Caenorhabditis elegans: one gene and its partner. The protein of the gene in region 2 purifies or fractionates together with the protein of the main gene of each other region. This does not show direct contact. Each region holds a gene or a part of one and is shown on either strand. Other genes may lie near its edges. The genes, in order: R04B3.2 and C08G9.2.

The links.
Region 1: the proteins of C08G9.2 (region 2) and R04B3.2 fractionate together in Caenorhabditis elegans (co-fractionation; one large-scale study listed by BioGRID). This does not show direct contact.

What each region holds. Positions count from the first base shown.
Region 1 is NC_003284.9:2,471,006-2,475,650, forward strand, and holds R04B3.2 (Glycosylasparaginase beta chain), read right to left. Parts: upstream 2,714-4,645; 5' UTR 2,580-2,713; coding exon 2,456-2,579; intron 2,405-2,455; coding exon 2,254-2,404; intron 2,209-2,253; coding exon 1,983-2,208; intron 1,336-1,982; coding exon 1,217-1,335; intron 1,167-1,216; coding exon 1,079-1,166; intron 1,026-1,078; coding exon 815-1,025; intron 761-814; coding exon 588-760; 3' UTR 535-587; downstream 1-534. Other genes in the region: R04B3.1 (MAM domain-containing protein), read right to left, coding at 99-153; R04B3.3 (MAM domain-containing protein), read right to left, coding at 2,881-2,982, 3,038-3,300, 3,353-3,743, 3,806-3,997, 4,042-4,167, 4,214-4,371, 4,424-4,574, 4,619-4,645.
Region 2 is NC_003282.8:7,669,676-7,674,890, forward strand, and holds the start of C08G9.2 (uncharacterized protein), read right to left. Parts: upstream 3,298-5,215; 5' UTR 3,205-3,297; coding exon 3,022-3,204; intron 2,906-3,021; coding exon 2,836-2,905; intron 2,835-2,835; exon of another isoform or gene 2,718-2,834; intron 2,378-2,717; coding exon 1,685-2,377; intron 1,625-1,684; coding exon 1,433-1,624; intron 1,386-1,432; coding exon 1,282-1,385; intron 1,236-1,281; coding exon 803-1,235; intron 756-802; coding exon 576-755; intron 492-575; coding exon 1-491.

The DNA of each region.
Region 1 (4,645 bases), on a different chromosome or scaffold from region 2:
TCTACAGGCTTTAATTTTTTGTCAAAAAACAAATAATTTCGAAACAAATTTTACACGCTCTCAATACAGTTCGATGTTTTCAAAATACAAAATCCTACCTTTATCAATGCTTATATACATTGAATATAACAGTAAAAATATCGCGTATACCATTTAGTTTATCGATAGGAACACTTCATTATACTGAGTGTTTGTTTAGAAATAAATACGAAAAAAAAATGGAAAGTCGGAAAATAAAGAAAAACGAAATGAGACCTTCAGCTTCTGCTGTCCGGTTTGTAAATGACACCGAAATGAAAATTGACCGTCACTCACTCACTGCTGCGATTCACTTTTCTTTCCAACAAGTGGATTTATTGCACTTCTGTTTCAACGACAACCGTCGACAGTCTCGAAGACAGCTAATTATACCATCTGCGCTACTGTGGCACCTACTTTCACTTCAGCCTGAACTTCTTCCTTATTATGCATAACGTCCGCATTTCAACTCCACCCCTCCCCTTCTTTTCAACTTGAAAACAATAAGAAGCTAATCCACAGTCCTCGAAATAGTTTTATTCCACGAATTTCTTTATATTATTATATTATCATGCAAATTCGATTCCTTCTTTGAGATACTTCAAGGAATTAACTTCTTTGAGACAACTTATGGAGTAGGTCACCACCGTTCCGTTTTGAAAAGCCACATTGTATCCGAATTTATTAATATTCGCACACGAGGCTCCGATTCTGCCTTTCACATTCATTGCAACGACTGCGCCTGGAAAAAAGCCACTGAAAAAATTTCAGAAAAAAAATTGTCAAAGTGTGCTACCTGAAAATTTCGGGAAAACTTTCAGAATTCGAGTTATCGCCTTATAAGCTGCTTTTGATGGCTTTGTACCCAGTTCCATCTGTGTTACAGCAAAGAAGCTTGGTAAAAACCTCATCATGACATCACCGTCACCAGTTGCGGCGGCTCCACCGAACTTGTTTGCATATGCTCCAGCACCCGGAATCGGACTATCACCAACTCGACCGGGAATCTAAAAACAAAAAAAAAATTGAAATTTTATTTATTTATTTTTGCTTTTTTCACTTTGAATCTAGCTCCATTTGATGATGTTCCGGCGCTGAATATGTTTTCCGTGTCGCGTACCACCATTCCAATTGTGTCATGATTTGTTCTAAATTTCAAACTGAAATTTATTACGAGCTTTAATCAAAAAAAATCTACTTTTCAACCAGATATCCAGCTTCGTCAGACTGATTTACAAGTGAATAATATCGCATTGATTTTGTCAAAGGATTTGTTTTATAAGGTCCGCAGGAGCTGGAAGGATCGGGGGACACGTTCTGAAAACATAAACATTGATGGTGTTGGGAGCTAATTTGCTTTGTTTTCTAAGAGAGCTTTAAGCTAGAGGAATTATGACAAAACTATTCAAAAACAGCTTAAAACCTCAAAAAACTGTTCAGATTAAAATTTGTTGGTATATAAGCATGTAGGTATAGGCATAGGTATGGAAATAGATACTCGGTGACTGTGACATTAAAAAATCCGTTAAAACATTTGACCGTGTGGCATGGTTGAACTTTTGGTATGTGGAAAATGATTAAGAACAAAATTAATATCATCGAAGAACACTGTTTTGCACGAAAAGTGCTTGGCAACTACCGGCCGGTAATTCTACTGAAAGAGTCACTGTAAAATGTAGTGATAGTCAAGTACTTGCTTTGTCTTAAAATTATTTTTTTAAATAGTTTACAGACTTTTTTCAGTAAAAAAATCCGACAACGTACCAAAACAATTTCGGCAATTTCCATCTCTCAGACAACTTTTTGCCACTTTTTCAGTTGTCGTGAATATTTGTTATATAATTTAGCTTTTAATTTTACTGAAAAATTGGGAAAACAATCCAAAACTGGTTCATTTTTTAAAATTGCCGATAGGCGATTTACGCAACTTTTACATGAAAAATTATTAATCACATATCATTCACCTTCCAAAAATTAGGCTGGCATTTTTCAGTTTTCCATTTTGAAATCCAAGATTTAGTTTCCTCGGTGGACAAGTCTTCTTCTTTAAAGCCCAAAGTCTTTGCAAACTGAGTGGCAGACTCTCCAACCAACAATGTATGTTTGGTAAAGTTCATGACACCCCAGGCAACTCTTGCGGCATCTCGAATACGATGAAGGTTTGCAACAGCGCCCACTCGCATTCCATCCCTACAAAAAATGTTTTCAATAACTACCATAGAAGAGCTTACTGACGCGTCGATAACCAGCGAATCTAAACAGGTTTCACCATTTTCATCTGGTGATCCTCCATATCCAACGGTTGTATCGCACTGGAGAGCCTCACAAGTTGACAATCCTTCGACTAAGCCAAACATACGACCTCCCAGTAAAGTGGCATCCACCGCTGAAAAATTATGAATTGATATTTTGGGAAAATCATTTTAAAAATACCAACCATTTTTCGTAGCTTTTTTAAAACCATCACTTCCCCATGTTGTGATGACCATTGGCAAACTGTCATCATTGATGGTCCCATTGATATACGGAATTAGAAGGAGAAAAATATAAAACCGTCGCATTTTTCAGAGTGAGTTTTCAGAGTAGTATATACTATTATTTGCTAAGACTTGAAAAATCGATGAAAGATGTGGCGGCAAGATAGTATCTAGAGCGATCGAGCGTTCTTTGCAAATGGTGACATCTGCTGTCGAATGTCCCAATGTCTCATCTGCAGACAATAAAACCATATGTTGTTTGTGGATTTGTTTATTGGTTCAATAAAATAACATTGAGACAAAAAAGAGAATGAAAGACAGTTGAAAATGATTTGAAATGTTTACGGTTTATACAATTATTAAATAAGTTATATGGTTATACGATCTAACAGATGAGTTGCTGACCTTTGGAATCACGAGACAGACGAATTGGTAGAAAACCAACTTCTCCTTTATTTTCACCGGCATTTTCAGCAATCACGCGAAGCTGAAAATTATAGATTATTTCAATGAGATTTTGTTCATATGCAATTTGAACTTACTTCATATGTGCCGGGTGGAAGTTTTGAACACCGAATGTTCCACTTTTTATTCTCCCTCAATCCTTCGCCCATAGTCAAGCCACTCTTTTTGTAGAAACAATCCATTTTGTCAGTGCAAATTGCAATTGAAAGACCCTCTGTTGCATAATACTCATAAAAGCAAAAGTAAACTTCCTCCAAAAGTGGAACGTTTAAGGCTTCTGATACCAGTGTGTAACTGCTGATATGAGAGTCGAAGAATGGTGCGACCAAGAACTTTTGAGCTTAACAAATATTAACTTACAAAATTTTTCATAAAAAACCAGTTTGACTTACCTGTTCCAGGTGGCAGATTAATTCCAGTAAGCGGATTTGCCACCCGTCCGGACGTCCCAATTTCCCAACGGTTATTACCGGATGATCTCCAGAACTTGCAACTCAAGTCAGATGGATTACATGACAATGCTAAGCAACTTTCAAAGAGTGATGGGACAGTTGATAATGATTCAGCTGACGTCATTGGGGTTTGCGGAGCAGTTTGCACCACTGCAGGTTGTGCGACAGGAGAGATCACTGATTGGATATCAGCCGCAGATTTTGGCTGCTGCTCTACTACGCTGTTGCTTTGAAGTGATCTTTGCAGAGCTGCTATTGCAATTCGCTGCTCATCGAGGTTAGCAGGAAGTCCGGCGTCAATTGCTTCTAGCCCAGGAATTCCTACGACTCCCTAGAACACTATTCATGTTTAGGTTAAATAATAAATAAAATTGCAGGCGAATAAAAGGGTACCTTTAATGATCCAACCGATTCTGCAAAACTTCTCTTATCATTTTCATTCGCTCTTGATGGGGGATTTGAAATGAGTACAGGATGACTATCAAGAGTCTCTCCGTTACACTTCAATGATCCTTCAATCACAATGTCCTGAATGAAAATTGCGCCACCTTCCTTGGCTATGAAATTGTTGCCAGAAAATACCAACTAAAAGAAAAATAAAATTTTCAATATATATTCTGTTTCAATACCTGAGTTGGGAGGTTAGGGTCATTAGGGGTTGGGATATCCGCTGTCATAGGAACACCATTTCTAATTTCAAACTCGTTGCAATTAATTAGCGGGAACTTTTCTTCGTTCGAATTCCTGACACAAATCTGAACAAGAAATATTTACGTGCTTGTGGGGAAAACTCAAAGTTACCTGTAACTTTGGCTGTTCACCACCAGGCCCAACTTTACTTCTCCACGCAGTTGCGGTGACCCTCAAACCAGTTGTCATACAAGGTAAAGCATCAGATATGAGTTGACCGCTTTCCCATCCGTTTCTAGCAGGAGAAGTAAGCGAACCTGCGGATTGACCTGAAAACTCGAAAGTATTAAGACAAAGTAAAGATAAAAATGTAAAGAGTACCTGGCAAATTCTGCACATCCAACGTTGGTAGGAATGAAGCTGCTTGAGGTGATTCGGCTAAGGTGGTCCAATCAAGTTCTTCTTCTTGAGTATTAGACCAGCGGCATTTATCAGCAAAAGAAGCGCAGTTCAAAGTGGAGACAGAACGAATCTTAAGTCATTTTTAAGTAAAATAAAACATGTGAATATTTCTACCTCGTCTTGCTGCATCGCAAAACGCGG
Region 2 (5,215 bases):
AGTTGCAATATCTCTGCATCCTGCCCCACATCCATCAAAGCAACACTTTTGATGTCCACTACAATCATCATCAACTTTACAAGAAACCCTGCACATTTTTGCGTCCAAACTTATAGGAACAATTGGACAAGAACCTGCATGACGGACAAGAGGTGGAGATAGGCAACACATTCCTCCAGATGCCAATCCAAGTTTATGACACCAGTGAGTTGAAGTTGGGCATTCTTCATCTTTTGTACAACTTTCAGCATTTCCAATACTGGAAATATATGGCTCTCCGGCTGGACAAAAGTTCAGAACACATCTAGGTTGTGGAACACAGTTTCCCTTCTGATAACATTGAATTGAGCTCATAACGCATACACTTCCTTGTGGACATTTTACTTCTTTGCATGGATTTTTGCATTTACAGGTTGGACAGGAGTTTGATCCTCTTTCAAAACCAAATGGGCATGCTACTTTACAAACCAGTGGTTCACATGGGTTTCTACCTGAAAGCGGAATAATTAAAAAAGGTCAGAGAAAATATCTATGCTAATATTGTAGACGCATCTGGAAAGTAGTGCTCGACTCACTTTCACAGTTCGGTTTTCTTCCAATGGCTCGCGATCCGGGCAGCTCTTCTCCAGTTGCTATGTCCACACAAAAACATCCTTCATCGTCACATTGGTATTGTTCAAAATTTCCTGCCCTGTCACACTTCATTGCATTTCTTAATGAATACAATTCAGCTGTCAATGCAAGATGAAAGCAAGCTGAAAATGATGTAGTTGATACCAAACCCAACGAATATCAAACTCACGGGTGCTCCGAACTGGATACATACACGAAGTTGAACATCCTTGTCTACAACATCTCTTCATTCCAGCACATTGAGAATCAGAATGACATTCAGTTGCACAGCTAACATTTGATGCAATGATATCAATACAATCTGCTACCAAAGAGCTCAAATGTCCCTTGTTATACTTCTCAACATCGCCCGGTTGGTAATGCATCACTGGCTCAATTGGTTTCAATGGTTTTTTCAGAACATAATCTTCAGGCTGTGTGCAAGATAAAGTGCAGCCATTGAAACAGCATTTCTCATCTTCAGAGCATTCGTGATCCGAGTGACATGAATTATCAGGGTAGATGAGACACTTTAATTTGTCAGCGGCTTGGGAAGGACATCTTCCGTCTCGTGTAGATGACGCTGGACCCGAACAACAAAATCCAAGTCCATTGTAGCCAATCTGAAAGTTCTATAAATATGCACACTTCTTTCAAAGTATCTAGTACCTTTGAACAAGTTCCTTCGGGACAATCTTTATCAATAGAACACAATGCTGTAATTCCATTTCCAAGACGAGAAGGTGGTCCGTGCCTACATGGGTTCAACAGACCTGAAACAAACTTTATATATCTTTGAAGTAACGTTTTTGAATCAAACATCGCGGAACAGGGAGACATGGAGGATTTGCACAATCGGGCTCAACCAGCTGACACTGCTCCCAAGTATTTTCACAATTAACATTTCTACAAATATCCACACAAGAACATGATGCAATAGGACATCCGAAAATGTCCATAACGTGTCCATGAGTACATTGATTGTGGCACTTTTTCGTACATAAACGGGGTTCTAAAAATCAATAGTGTAATTGATTTTCTCCAAAAATATATGTTCCAAGACATCAAATACCTCTACACATATCAATCCTTCGTTGTTCTCGACTTATTCTTGTACCAGCTATCTCTGAGCCATAATGTACATCGACACACCAACAAAACTGAATATCACATTGAATTGATGAGAATCGTCCGTTTCGTTCGCAAAATGGAACAAATTCATTTGGAAGTCTTTTATCTTTTAATTTCGAAATTGCTAGAACCATATGAATACATCCAGTTGCTTTGAGAGGTTCCATACAAGTTGATCCACATGCATTTTGACAACATTTATCAACACTACCACAATCCAAATCATTTGCACATTGTTTTTGATCAATGCATATTGATTTATTTGATGTTGGAGAAGGACATTGACCGACTTTTGTTGTAGGAAGTGGACGAATTGGTGAAGGAGTTGGAAATAGAGAGTTCGCAAGATTTCGTATCGTTGGTGGAATTGGAGTTATATTGAAATGAGTTGATCCAATATTTGATACAGCTTTAATGAGACGTTGAAAGGAACCAGGGATGTTATTAGATGATGAAGAAACTGGTTGAATTGGAACTTCTCTGTCGATTTGAAAACTTTTAGCAATTGGAGCAACACATTCTCGTCCACATCCGTTCGAGCAACAGATCAACCGACCACTACAATCAGAGTCTTTTTCACATCGAAGTGCACATATACCACCAGTTAATCGTGGGCATTCTTCTCGATTTGATCCTGAATCAAAAAATATGTAATGAGCTTTCATACTTGAAAACAAAAAATACAAAAATTATGTTATCAAAAATTCATTTTCAATTTTGAATTTTCAAAAAATTTATCTTGATTCTTGGAATTATCTTGAAATTAACTTTAATACATATGTACATTTCTTTTTTGTAATTTTGAAGAAATTAAATGCATTTTTTAGTTTTTCTTGTTAAGGACATGAGTTGATTTTTTATTTTTTGAGAAATTCTAATATAGAAGGTTATTATGTGATGTAACCGTTGTTCGTTTTTTTTTCGTTTTTCAATTGTCTTTTATAGAAAATCGAGAAAAATCTTTGGCAAAAAAGGAACAGAGTATTCACAAAAACGTGTCCGAATACTAGCTTAGCCGTGTAGTAGCCAGATAATTGTCACTTCTCTTCCCAAAAGAGACTGGTCACGCACCATAATTGGATGTACACTTACCGAACTTTGGAATGCAGCGTGCTTTCACGCCAATTGCAATGCAACTTTCTGATGGTCCACAAATTGTCGTCTAAAACATTAATATAGAAAGTAAAATATTATTAAGAACAATTATTTCTCGTTAAATATATTATAGAGTGTTAGAAGAATTCAAAAAAATATCAGAGATCTTTCAAAAAGCCTAACCTGGCAAGGATCCATTGCACATGTGCAGATACATTGTTGAAGAATATCTTTCAAATATCCAAAAGGGCATAATAAATTACAACTGGTTGGACGGAAAGGACATACATTTGGTACACTTGCCGGTAAAAGGTCTATAGAAGACGACAAAAATGGTTTCAGAATTAAAAGATACAGTAACCACATAATTGCTCATTTGACATCCGGAAGTGATAAGAATAAAAGATGTGATGGTCAATTTAGGATAGTAAAAGATGACAGGTGGATTGAGGGAAAAGAGACAGGTTACTTCTGTTGAGTGGACACATTGCAACCCCCGGCCACCACCGCCACGGACACGCCGCCCACTTTTGCGGTGTGAGGTGCGAAACTGTCTTCCGACAGATTTGTAAATATTACGAGGAAGTTGATGTAATACGGAAGAGGTCCACTGGATTTATGTGAATGAAGAATCAAAAGATTGTAAAATGTTTAGATATGATGAGCTACAGGGTCAAAGGTGATTTGATACACGATTTTCGAGCAGAAATGCTGACTTTTCGAAATCTCATTGTTGTTTAATCAATCACGGGATGTACGAAAGGGATCTTGGTTTTGGATTTTTGAAAATCAAAATATTACAGGAAAATATAATGCAAAACTAGTACAGACTGTGAAAATGTTTCTAACCTTGATTTCTGCTCCGTCCAACTGTGAAATTACATTGTGTGTCAATTTCAAAAACGGTACGTGATTTTTTAGTTCTGGTTTTTAAGTGAACTTTATGTATATGAGCTCTGAAAACAGGAAAATAAGGGAAAATTAATAAGGTAGTCAGAATGAAATATTGCAATTCGAACATAAGCATTTAGTTTGAAACAACCCGTATTTCCCTTATTAGTTTTGTAGCTTCTAGTTTGTCATGCACTGATTTTCCGACAGACCGGCTATACTCTGTGGGAATTTCCGCAAAAATTAAATTTAAAATTAATAGATGAGATGTGGTATGTAGTTTTAAAAAAGTCGATGGATTCAGAAAATGCTCAGAAAAATCCGCGCATTAATTTCCAAAACTATCACATTTCAGAAAAGTATCAAACATCATATTTTTGGAGTCCAATACTACTTCTTCATTTCTTTTTTTTTTTTCTTTTCCACTAGTTTTACAATAAAATATATTGTTTTGTCCTAATGAAGCACATTTCATTTTGTAATGTTTTTTAACTTTCTACTGTAGGATATTCTATTCCGTAATCGTACAAATCTTCTTTCTCTCCCAAATTTAGGCTGCGCCCTGTTTCAAAGCTCTGCTAATAGTACGCAAAACAAATGTATTCGCTAACTCTTTCGCTCATTTCGGTATAAGTGTCACTTGGAGATCTCTTCGTCTCTCGCAACCCGTATTTGTATTGTTTATCTTCCAAAATGGTAGTCGACTGCTCATATGAATTGAATTACTAGCGGGATATGAAAGAGACATGAGATTTATAAAAAGTAACTGAATATTTCAACTTTTGAAATTGAACTTGTATCATTTTCGAAACTAAAATGGAAAAACAGGAACGATATTACTTCATTTTTCCACTTAAAGATGGAGTAGCAAAATTTGGGTGATTGTTTTTAGAATCAAAATTGATCCTAAATACCTATTGAGACAACTTGAAAATGTCTCAAAAATTATTGTATTAGGTTAGTCATTCTCTAAAAGAAAACGGGCAACCCTTCAAGTATTAAATCATTTTGAGCTTGAAAAGAGAGAACATTGTTCATTAAAATTCATGTTTGGGCTCCTAAATCTACAAAAAATATCACATTTATATTTTCGGCAATTCTGATTTCCTGTAATCGACAATTTCAGCGATTGCCGAAATCGTCGAAAAGTCGATTACCGAACGGCAATTGCTGCATGCTATGTATCACACCGTTTCAGCGTTGTGTATCGTATTTGTTCAAAGATAATTTTCTTGTAAATCTCGATGTTATTGACTACTGCAGCTAATACATTTGAATTCCCATTAATTCCTTTAATTTGATAAGTGTGACTTGGTTCCCGTTGCCCACCATCTTTTGTTCCTTTCCTCCTATCTTCAAATCAAACGCATCTGGAATCTATTTTTTTCATTGTTGTCTGTCTACCGATGCCAACGATCTGACCTTTCTTAATTGGTATTCGCGCTCATTTTGACATTGTGTCAACTTCAACTATTTGCGCGGGTTT